Linked DNA regions of Rattus norvegicus. The protein of the gene in region 3 interacts with the protein of the main gene of each other region in a biochemical or structural test. Links are inferred from orthologs where the notes say so. Each region holds a gene or a part of one and is shown on either strand. Other genes may lie near its edges. The genes, in order: Faap20, Ubqln2 and Ubc.

Evidence for each region.
Region 1: the proteins of Ubc (region 3) and Faap20 form a complex in vitro, tested with the Homo sapiens proteins (6 studies listed by BioGRID, with this or other methods). The link is inferred for Rattus norvegicus from reciprocal best matches to the Homo sapiens genes UBC and FAAP20.
Region 2: the proteins of Ubc (region 3) and Ubqln2 form a complex in vitro, tested with the Homo sapiens proteins (8 studies listed by BioGRID, with this or other methods). The link is inferred for Rattus norvegicus from reciprocal best matches to the Homo sapiens genes UBC and UBQLN2.

The regions. Positions count from the first base shown.
Region 1 is NC_086023.1:171,089,700-171,093,520, forward strand, and holds the start of Faap20 (Fanconi anemia core complex-associated protein 20), read left to right. Parts: upstream 1-1,427; 5' UTR 1,428-1,464; coding exon 1,465-1,526; intron 1,527-1,974; coding exon 1,975-2,119; intron 2,120-2,222; coding exon 2,223-2,497; intron 2,498-3,821. UniProt on the Homo sapiens protein: Component of the Fanconi anemia (FA) complex required to recruit the FA complex to DNA interstrand cross-links (ICLs) and promote ICLs repair.
Region 2 is NC_086039.1:21,229,842-21,233,662, reverse strand, and holds the start of Ubqln2 (ubiquilin-2), read left to right. Parts: upstream 1-1,434; 5' UTR 1,435-1,722; coding exon 1,723-3,639; 3' UTR 3,640-3,821. UniProt on the Homo sapiens protein: Plays an important role in the regulation of different protein degradation mechanisms and pathways including ubiquitin-proteasome system (UPS), autophagy and the endoplasmic reticulum-associated protein degradation (ERAD) pathway.
Region 3 is NC_086030.1:36,899,253-36,902,852, reverse strand, and holds the start of Ubc (polyubiquitin-C), read right to left. Parts: upstream 2,354-3,600; 5' UTR 2,287-2,353; exon of another isoform or gene 1,724-2,286; intron 554-1,723; 5' UTR 551-553; coding exon 1-550.

The DNA.
Region 1 (3,821 bases), on a different chromosome or scaffold from region 3:
ATCCCCAACCCCTTGTTTTGTCTTGAGACAGGATCTTTCTTCATAGCCCTGTTATCCTGGAACTCACTCCACAGAGCAAACTCATAGAGACCCTCCTGCCTCTGCCTCCTGAGCACTGGGATGAAAGGTCTGTGCCAGCACCGTTCAAATTAAACTTTTAAAGCCTTTCTTGGCAATACTTCGCAGACAGCTGGGACAAGGTCACTGCTGGGGCTGCTCATTACCCTGCTTCTACCTCCTCAGGTTCTAAAGATGGTTGGATTGGGGCTGGAGCGACGATTTAATGGTTAAGAACATTTCCTTTCTTTCTTTCTTTTTTTTTTTTTTTTCGGAGCTGGGGACCGAACCCAGGGCCTTGCACTTGCTAGGCAAGCGCTCTACCACTGAGCTAAATCCCCAACCCCAGTTAAGAACATTTGCTCCTCTTTGCAAAGGATCCAGGTTCATTTCCCAGCATCCGCATGGTAGCTCGCAACTGTAACCACAGTTCTAGGAGATCCAAGATCTTTTCCCACCTCTGTGGGCAGCAGACACATACCGCACAGATATCTGCTCTCGGATCCTTAGGAGATTAAACTTGCTGATCCTCTTCAAGCCTACAGAGATAGAAGACAACCTCGGTCCGGAATCCATCCCCGACCCTGGCCTGGACACAATTTCCAGGTTGTGGAACCTGGAAGTACTCACAGTAGGGGTGATCTCACCTAAAGATGAGAGGCAAAGTTCTGACTGGAGGAAGAGCCAGGAAAGGGGTTAGGGAGTCAGATGGTTGCAGGACAGGCTTTTGGACCGTCCCTGACCCCTGGGGGCTTTGCAGTAGAATGCTATTAGCGAATCCCAATGCGTCTGTCAAAGTGCCTGGGCTTTTGCTGCCACCAAGTGATGGGTTGCAGGATTGCAGGGCGGGTTATTGGCTAGGTAGGAAACCGGGGATTTTCTCTCTGAGCCTTCATCCCCTGGGCTTTGAGGTTTCATTGCCTCTCTCTTTGGTAGAAAAACCCAGTTCCTTCTATAAGAAGAAGAGGAAGATGATGGCAAAACTGGACTTGGGAATCTGGCCCTGTCCATGGGGCCCTCCTGAGAAAGGCCAAAGAACTGGAAACTGAGGCAGGGCATTGTCTAGTACCACTGGGAGGTGCCATCAGCAGGGCAAGCCTGACAGTTCTCAGCACGTGTTGACAGATGGGAGCCCAGGCTCCAGGGTCTGCACAGGGTCGGGTGGGTCCAATCTCGCACCCCTGCAAACTGGAGGTCAGCTCCACGCTGTCGCGACTCTCCCTCAAGGCGGCAGCCTCGTGTTCCCAACGGTTGGGATCTCGGCGCCTTAGATTTCCAGCGCCACAAAAGGGAGCTGGCACTTGGCAGAGCGGAGAGCGGGGGCTCTGGAAGCCTCCGGAGCGGGTCCCGGTCGGAGGGCGGGTCTGGCTGTAAGTCTCACTTCCGCCGGACGCTCTTAGGAGAAGGATGGAGGAGGAGCGGAGGCTGCGGGGGAGGCTGAGCCGCCGCAGGCCGCCCGCAGGGGGCGGGTGAGGCGGGACAGAGCGGAGGGGTGGGGTCCTGGGGGCTTTGGAAGGAGGTGGGAGCCTGGGAAGGCGGTGGGGACGCCGCGACGTTCCCGCCTAGCTGCGGGGTTCCTCGCACACGTGCATCGCGCTACTAGCCACGCTCCGCCTCTCTCCGGGCGCGGTCGCTTCTTCCGCCCCAACCCTGCAGTCCCCATCGCCACCTCCGCCACCCCTCTTTCCGTCGCCTATTTAGCCTCTCCTTTCGCAGCTCCAGGCTCCATTTCCTCCTAGAGTTCGTTTACCCTTCAACGTGAGGTTCATTCCTGTCCCCTTACTATGGGCTCCCTCCTCCTCCATTACTCCACTGTGGGCTTGCTCCCCACCCCAGCCTTGTTGCCCCTCACTGTAGAACCAACCCTTCGTGACATCTACCATGGATCCCCTGGCTGACCCTTCTTATGATTCCCAGGCCCCCTAACTGCCGCCCCTGGTTTCTCTCGGAGGAAAGTAAGAGTGAGCCGTGGGCTGCTCTGCTGCGCAGCACCGTGGGCGGGAACACGGATTGGACCCCGAACAGTCAGCCATTACCACCGCTGCCTGCTTTTCCCAGCCAGGTGTGTCCAAAAACACTAAGCCGGGATGACTCCGGAGAGGGATCTCAGGCCCTGGGGAGGTCATGGTGTTGGTGGCTATGACCTTAAGGGCACTGCTTTTCAGGAATCTCTGCCTGACCCAGAGTCCACTGTGCCTCCTGAGGTCTTCACTGTAGGATCCAAGACTTTTTCCTGGACGCCTTTTCCGCCTGCCCTTCGTGGCTCTGGAAGCTCCTGCCGCCTGTTACGTTGTCCTGAAGGCTCTCCGGGGTCACCTGCTCCATCCCTGAAAGGATGCCCTGCACTGGATTCCCGTCAAACTCCCAGCACCCAGGAGTGTGTGCAGAGTCAACTTGTGTTGCTGAACTGCCCATTGTGCCAGAAGGCATTTGACCCGAAGTGAGTGTCCCATCCCAGACCTCAGGCTGAAGACTTAGCTGGATGTAAGGCCCACTGGCTTAGGAGGCAAAGAGAGTGCCTGGTGGGGCTCAGGCCTTTTGTTTATGTAACTAATTTTTAAATTATAAATATTTACATACATGTGTGCCTGGCACGCATGCATGTGGAGGTCAGAAGACAACTTCTTGAAGTCTGTTCTGGCCTTCTATCACGTGAGTCCAGGGGTTGAACTCAGGTCCTCAGATTTGCTGAGCCTTTATTTGCTGAGCTTTCTTGCTAGTCCTGGTTAATCAAGCACAGAGTTGGCTTGATTAAATAGCTGTCAGAACATGAGGCAGGTGGGACCCTAGTTCAGAGCCCAACAGGCTCCTCCAGATGATTACAAAAGAAATTGTGCTGAGCTGGAAGTGGAGGCTTATGTGCTTTTAATCCCAGCCTTTGAGGGACAGATGTCTGAGTTCCAGGCCAGCCTGGTCTACATAGTGAATTCCGGAACAGCCAGTGCTATGTAGAGAGAGATCCTGTCTCAAAAAAAATGTGCATATTTATTGTTTGTGTAGTATATGTACATGTTCAGAGGGTTTGTACACAGAGGTGCTAGGGTGGGCTACACAGTGGGCTCAGGATACGCCTGTCTGTCCTGCCACCAGTACCTGTATCACGAATGTATACAGCCTTTTACATTGGTAATGTTTGCATAGAAGGTACGTTACCATTAACTGAGCCATCTTTCTAACCTCCAAAATGTGGCTTTTAAAAAAAAAAATCAGATTCAAGCCTTTATGAATTTGGGAGGGTCCCCAATCCCACCCCTCGACAACAGCTCTCTACTCATACCTATATAGCTGAGACAAGGGGGATGTTGACAGGGCTGCCTTGAGTCAGGTTATGACTGTACCCAACTGGGGTCCTGTTTATGTGACAGTGAGTGATTTGTAAAGCTGACACCTCTGTGCTTCTTACCAATCAAGAGACCCAGGGGCAGAAGCTGAGGGCTTAAGCCCTTTTGGGGAATTCATTCTCGAAGAGCCCATCAGATTCCTGATTATGTCAGGGCTCCCGCTCTTGTTCCGGGACAGCCTTTTGTCTGTGCTGTCCTTTGGTGTGTCTAAGAAAAGACTCTTGGAAGATAGGGCCATTGAAGAGGGGGCTCACTCCATCCGTTGGGTGCTGTTCAAGCAGCCATTTGAGAGCTTGGCAAAGCACCCTGCTTTTTTTTTTTTTTTTTTTTTTTTTTTTGGTTCTATTTTTCGGAGCTGGGGACCGAACCCAGGGCCTTGCGCTTCCTAGGCAAGCGCTCTACCACTGAGCTAAATCCCCAACC
Region 2 (3,821 bases), on a different chromosome or scaffold from region 3:
TAATGATTTTGAAATGCTGTTAAATCATCACTAGGTTTTTGTATGGGAAAAGGATTTTCTGTGTTCAAAGCAAGAGAAATAAACATAAATGATTTCAGAATTATTTCTTTTATAATTCAGGTTTTCTATATCACTAATACTCCATTTTTATTTTCTTTATTTAATCTGTAATGATTATGTTCATTTCTGCCACGATTGTGTGCCTGTCAATTTTTACCTTTATTTTTGTCTGAAAATATATTTGTAGTTTTTAAAAATCATAAATGCAATGCATATTTATCCATAAAATTGAAAGTCTTATAAAAATAAAAAATAAGCCTTATTCACAATCTCATCTCCTATTAATAATTACCTTTATCATAATGGAGTCTCACCCTTCAGATTTATTTTTCACACATATAGTCTACAAGCTTTTTGATACTGACACCTACACGCCTGTATTATTTCCATTTGTTAAGAAAAACATAAATCCATAGAAAATATAACCCCAAATATCGTCTATTATTTCCTCCTAACTACAGTGCATTTAATGTATTCTTTTAGAGACACGTAATACTACATGAATTAGCCACCATCTTTTAGACACAGGGATTATTTTATTGTATGGCAAAATCATAGTATTCCTGCTACAGACACATTTAACTAGCTAAACGCTGTGTTTATAAATGCTACGTTGTATGTGTATATATATATATATGTATATATATGATTTTAGAATCGATTATTAGGTCTTTCTAAACAAAGGTGCAAATACTTAAAATGTCCATTTGTATTTTCAAACTGCCCGATTACAATTCCTACTACGACTAGCATGAGAGTGCATTTTCTCGGCTCCTGGTCAACAAGGTTTAACGTTCTCTTTCATCGGCGCCAATATGATAAACCCGAAGGAAAAAATCTCATTGTTTTATTTGAATCCCTTTGATTAGGAGCGAGCCTCATATTTTCAGAAGCCTGTTGGTCGTTTTTAGGCTCCTTTTGTAAAATGCTCGCTCCCGCCATGCCTTCCCTTCCCCCACTCGGGTGCTCGTTCTCCCTTTTTGCTTTGTCAGAGTTCTTTACTATTCATTTTTCGTCCTTTGCCTGGGATCGGTTCAATTCAGGCTTTCATCCTTTCACTGCCTCCCAGATTGCGAACCCACATTCTCCATTGGTCTTTCAGAGGCTGCTAAAGAAGCTGCCTCCCTCTTCCACCTCCCGGCCTCCTCCCTTCCCCCCCTCGCCTCGCCTCGGTCCCCTCGCTTTTCTCTCCAGCCTCCTTCCTTTTCCTTCCCTTTCCCCCTCTCTTTGTTTATTTCTCCCTCCCTCTCCCTCTCCCCTCTTCGCCCCCCCTCCTCTGCAGGGCAGGAGTTTTGCGCTCGGCTGCGAGACGCTCGCTGGGCTGGCGCCGCGTCAGCAGGGGGCGGGGCGCGGCCGGGGGCGGGACGGGGCGGGAGCGCGGGCGCCGCAGCTGCAGGAGTCGCTGGGAGTGCGCGCGGGCAGATCACAAGGCGGCGGCGGCAGAGACGGCCTGCAGGACCTGCTCTCTCAGCCCTTAGCCGAGGCCTACGCCGAACCGAGTGCGCAGCCGACGACCGGGAGGAGCCGCAGCCCTCATCTCTGAGGTACTGTGTTCCGCACTGCCCGCCGGGCCGCCCCAGTCCGCTGCCGCGGCGCCTCCTTCCCTCGCGCCCTCTTCGCTCGCCAGCGCCTTCCCTGTGAGCCTGCGTCACCGCGGCCGCCATGGCTGAGAACGGCGAGAGCAGCGGCCCCCCGCGCCCCTCCCGCGGCCCTGCTGCGGCCCCAGGCGCGGCCAACCCGCCAGCCGAGCCCAAAATCATCAAAGTCACTGTGAAGACCCCCAAAGAGAAGGAGGAGTTCGCGGTGCCCGAGAACAGCACCGTGCAGCAGTTCAAGGAAGCGATTTCTAAACGCTTCAAATCGCAAACCGATCAGCTCGTGCTGATTTTCGCTGGAAAAATCCTGAAAGATCAAGACACCTTGATCCAGCATGGCATCCATGATGGACTGACTGTTCACCTGGTTATCAAAAGCCAGAACCGTCCGCAGGGCCAGGCCACCACGCAGCCCAGCACTACTGCGGGAACGAGCACGACGACCACGACCACCACCACGGCGGCGGCGCCGCCGGCGGCGACTACATCATCGGCTCCCAGGTGTAGCACCACAGCTACTACCACAAATAGCAGCAACTTGGGGCTCGGAAGCCTTGCCAGCCTTGGTAACCTGGGTTTGAACTCGTCCAACTTCACCGAGCTTCAGAACCAGATGCAGCAGCAGCTCTTGGCCAGCCCCGAGATGATGATCCAGATCATGGAAAATCCCTTTGTTCAGAGCATGCTTTCGAATCCTGATCTGATGAGGCAGCTCATCATGGCCAATCCACAGATGCAACAATTGATCCAGAGAAACCCAGAAATCAGCCACCTACTGAACAACCCAGATATAATGAGGCAGACTCTCGAAATCGCCAGGAATCCTGCCATGATGCAAGAGATGATGAGAAATCAAGACCTGGCTCTCAGTAATCTCGAAAGCATCCCAGGTGGCTACAATGCTCTGCGGCGCATGTACACTGACATTCAAGAACCCATGCTGAATGCCGCACAGGAGCAGTTTGGGGGCAATCCGTTTGCCACGGTGGGGAGCAGTTCCTCCTCAGGGGAAGGTACTCAGCCTTCCCGCACGGAGAATCGGGATCCGCTGCCTAATCCTTGGGCACCACCGCCAACTACCCAGACCTCTGCGACGACCACCACCACGACCACAAGCAGTGGCACTGTGGCTGGCAGCAACACCAGCAGCACTACGGCCGGGAACACCATGGCTGCAGCTAATTATGTGGCCAGCATCTTCAGCACCCCAGGAATGCAGAGCCTGCTGCAGCAGATAACTGAAAATCCCCAGCTGATTCAGAATATGCTGTCTGCACCCTACATGAGAAGCATGATGCAGTCGCTGAGCCAGAATCCAGATATGGCTGCCCAGATGATGCTGAGTAGCCCACTGTTTACGGCGAATCCTCAGCTGCAGGAGCAGATGCGTCCACAGCTCCCGAATTTCCTGCAGCAGATGCAGAGTCCAGAAACCATCGCGGCCATGTCAAACCCGAGAGCGATGCAAGCGCTACTGCAGATCCAGCAGGGGCTACAGACACTAGCCACTGAAGCACCTGGCCTCATTCCAGGCTTCACTCCAGGTGTGGGGGTGGGAGTGCTGGGAACGGCCATAACCCCTGTGGGCCCAGTCACTCCCATAGGGCCCATCGGTCCTATCGTTCCTTTCACCCCCATAGGCCCCATCGGGCCTATAGGACCCACTGGCCCTGCCAGCTCCCCTGGCTCGACCGGCACCGGGATCCCGCCTGCAACCACTGTGTCCAGCTCTGCACCTACTGAAACCATAAGTCCAACATCAGAATCTGGACCCAGCCAGCAGTTCATTCAGCAAATGGTGCAGGCTCTCACTGGAGGAAGTCCTCCACAGCCGCCGAATCCTGAAGTGAGATTTCAGCAGCAACTGGAACAGCTCAACGCCATGGGGTTCTTAAACCGCGAAGCAAACTTGCAGGCCCTAATAGCAACAGGAGGCGACATCAACGCGGCCATTGAGAGGCTGCTGGGCTCTCAGCCATCCTAATTCCGTTTCTGTACCTTGAAAAAAATGTATCTTATTTTTGATAATGGCTCTTAAATCTTTAAACACACAAAATCGTGCTTTACTTTTATTTTGATTCTTTTAAATCTGTCTACGTATAAATCTAAAACGAAGCATTTTAAGGTGGAGTCCCTCCCTTCCTGCTCCTCCTCCTCCCCCTCCTC
Region 3 (3,600 bases):
CCTGGATCTTTGCCTTGACATTTTCAATGGTGTCACTGGGCTCGACCTCCAGGGTGATGGTCTTGCCTGTCAGGGTCTTCACAAAGATCTGCATGCCCCCTCTGAGGCGAAGGACCAGGTGCAGGGTGGACTCCTTCTGGATGTTGTAGTCTGACAGGGTGCGGCCATCTTCCAGCTGCTTGCCTGCAAAGATCAGCCTCTGCTGGTCAGGGGGGATGCCCTCCTTGTCCTGGATCTTTGCCTTGACATTTTCAATGGTGTCACTGGGCTCGACCTCCAGGGTGATGGTCTTGCCTGTCAGGGTCTTCACAAAGATCTGCATGCCCCCTCTGAGGCGAAGGACCAGGTGCAAGGTGGACTCCTTCTGGATGTTGTAGTCTGACAGGGTGCGGCCATCTTCCAGCTGCTTGCCTGCAAAGATCAGCCTCTGCTGGTCAGGGGGGATGCCCTCCTTGTCCTGGATCTTTGCCTTGACATTTTCAATGGTGTCACTGGGCTCGACCTCCAGGGTGATGGTCTTACCAGTTAAGGTTTTCACAAAGATCTGCATTGTCTATGGAAAAAAAAACAAAAAACAAAAAACCAAAAAACAGGTCAGGAATGACACAAATTCTTTAGAGTGCCACCAACCGTTGGATCTGTGAGGTGGCTAGTAGTTTAGTCTAAATAGCTACACAGACTGTTTTGAATTTTACCCCCTAAAACCAACAAGAAAATAAAAGTCTTGATGGAACAAAGTTATGAATATTAGGCATTGTCTATTACCAAGTTGGCAGGGTGGAGCGTTCAGTACGGAACTGCTGAAAGTCAGTCCCTGACTATTTGCAGTTTGGAGAAAAGCCTGACCCACATTTCACCTTGGGGGAGGGGGGTTTAGGAGGACCCACTCCAAAGAAGTCAGAAACTCAAGAGCTTAGAAGGCAATAGTTGGAAATCCCGGATTCAGGTCCCGACTGGTAGATAGAGCCAGTTACTACTACAAAACTGAACTATGTTCATATCTTTCCTCCCAGCACTGGGGACACTGAGGTGGGCAGATTTCGTGAATTGGGAGGTCAGCCTGAGACAGTGAGATCCTGCCTCAACTCTCCTTCCCCCAAGCTTTTGTCTGAACAATTAAACAGTAGTTTACTCTTACTCTTATCCTCTTAACCTCTTACTTTCACCCCATCTGTCCCTTCTCTCCCCATTCTCCTCCCTGCTCTCTCTCCACATGTTCCGACCAGCTTTACTCCCTCCTCAACTCCCCTTCCCATGCCCTGAATAAACTCTATTAAAAAAAAAAGTAGTCTGGGGTAAGTGGCACTGGCCTTGGACCTCATCACATGGGTGGTAGAGGCAGAGATTTTTTTAAAGTTTAAAACCCTTGTCAGGCTGGTAAGATGACTCAGTGATTAATAGCACTGACTGCTCTTCCAGAGGTCCCGAGTTCAATTCCCGGCAACCATATGGTGGCTAACAACCATTTGTAATGAGATCTGATCACACCTCTTCTGGTGTGTCTGAAGAAATAAATCTTTTTTTTTTTTGGTTCTTTTTTTCCGGAGCTGGGGACCGAACCCAGGGCCTTGCGCTTCCTAGGCAAGCGCTCTACCACTGAGCTAAATCCCCAACCCCTGAAGAAATAAATCTTAAAAAAAAAAACACCCTTGTCTAATAAATAGTTTCCGCAGCCATATCCGTGTAGCGAGACAAGGAAAGACTCAATGTAAGTCAGGCTCACGTTCCCCCTCTGAATTTCCGGTTCCTGTTTACTCTGGAGAGGCTACCCGAGGCCGAGACCCAAACCCGGTCCTACAACTGAGGGAAAGCTAAAGCCATCGTCACTATACACTGTGAGACCACACAAACCGCGACGTCACAGGGGCGATAGGCTAGGCTGGACCGCCACCCTCCCCCTCCCTTCCCAATCGCACTCCTGTATTTAGCAACCGACGAATTCCGGATAACCGACATCTCCCTCCCGTCTAATACCCACAGTTCTCACATCAGAGGCTCCTACAGCGCGCCAACCGAATTCAGTTCCCAACCCAAGCCTCTGACGTTCCCGGCTTAACCGGCGGCAAGCGGCCTCGCGGGCCTGCTTCCCCCAACCTGGTCCAGCGCGTCAGGACCGCGCGTCTTCCCCCTCAGGCTTCCATTTGGCCGCCATCTTGCCGCCCGGTCCTCGGCCTCAGGACAGCAGCCGTCCTCGCGGGCCACGGAAACCAAACGTCCGGGCCGCGGGCTGTCTCTCGCCCCCTCCCGCCTCCCCGCCCCCGCCGGGTGTGGCGGCTTTCTCCTCACCAGCGGTGTTGGCTGCAGTCCTCACAAAAGAGTAGAGACGGAACTGGCGGTCTCCACGGAACTAGCTGCGGGACGCGAGGCGTCTCTTTATATAGTCATCGGGAGCCCCGCCCACCCCTGGATTCCTCCGCGGAAATGCGGTTGGGGACTACTTTTTAATGCCCGGTCCAATCTCTGCAATGGAAGCGACAGGCTAAAACCATTAAGATCGCTTCATGGGGTTGTTCCACTGCGAAGGCCAGAGAGTGAGGGGCTTTGTGTGGAGGGGCAGGACTGCGACCTTGCGCGACCCCGCGGAGGGATCAGCGCCTGTGACGTGATCGGCGCTAAAACCCGGCAGGGATCACTGCAGCCGGAGCGGACCTCGGCGCAGGCGCACTGTGGCTAAGCGAGCCGGAGACCCACCAACTACCCCCCACCCCCTCCGTCAAGGGTCCCAGTCGCCTCTTTCTGTTAGGGGGACCTAGGGCTTTGGCTCTTGTTACACTGATATTCCATTGGTGGCCTCGGCTCCTAAGTTCCCTCACCTCGAGTCGGTCGTCACTGTGCCCAGCCCTCTTTGTTTTGGCACGGTGACAGGATGGATGACTGTGCAAATCTCATAACAAGGGAAATGACAACGGTTTTTTTTATTTTTTATAAAAAAAATGGGGGGGGGGGGGATCTCTCCCCAGTTTGGGAAAACGAATCTGAATTCGTCAAGAAAAGCAGTCAGTCCTCACAGTTCTTGAAAACTGTTGGCATTAGATCTGAAGCCCAGTGGGCACTAGATCTTTCCAGATTCTTCCTAAGTCTGTTTATGTCTGGTGTCCTTGGATTCGAGAAGGTTCTGTTTTCTGTTCGATTGTCACTAAGGAAAGGTCAAAATATCAAAATGTTGTTCATATTCTGAGACTGAACCCATCGAAATCCTATTTTTTTAATTTTTGTTGTTCAGACAGGGTTTCTCTGTATAGCCCTGGCTGTCCTGGAATAGGCTTCGTAGACCGGGCTGGTCTCAAGTTTACAGAGATCCTTCTGCCTCTGCCTCTAAGTGCTGGTCTACAGGGCTACACAGTGAAACCTCGTCTTGAAAAAAACCAAAACCAAACAAAAACCCACACACACACACAAAAAGTACACGTTTAGTACAATGTTCAGATTACAGCAAACATATACCCCACTTGTAAAATTCAGCCTATTCAGGTTTTTGAAATGTAAGGCCTGAGACCTTAGAAGGTAAGAATTGAATCCCTAGGGTAGAGAGATGGCTCAGCAGTAAGAGCAGGTCTTCTTCCAGAGTTCAATACTGAGCAACCCTGTCAGGCAGCTAGC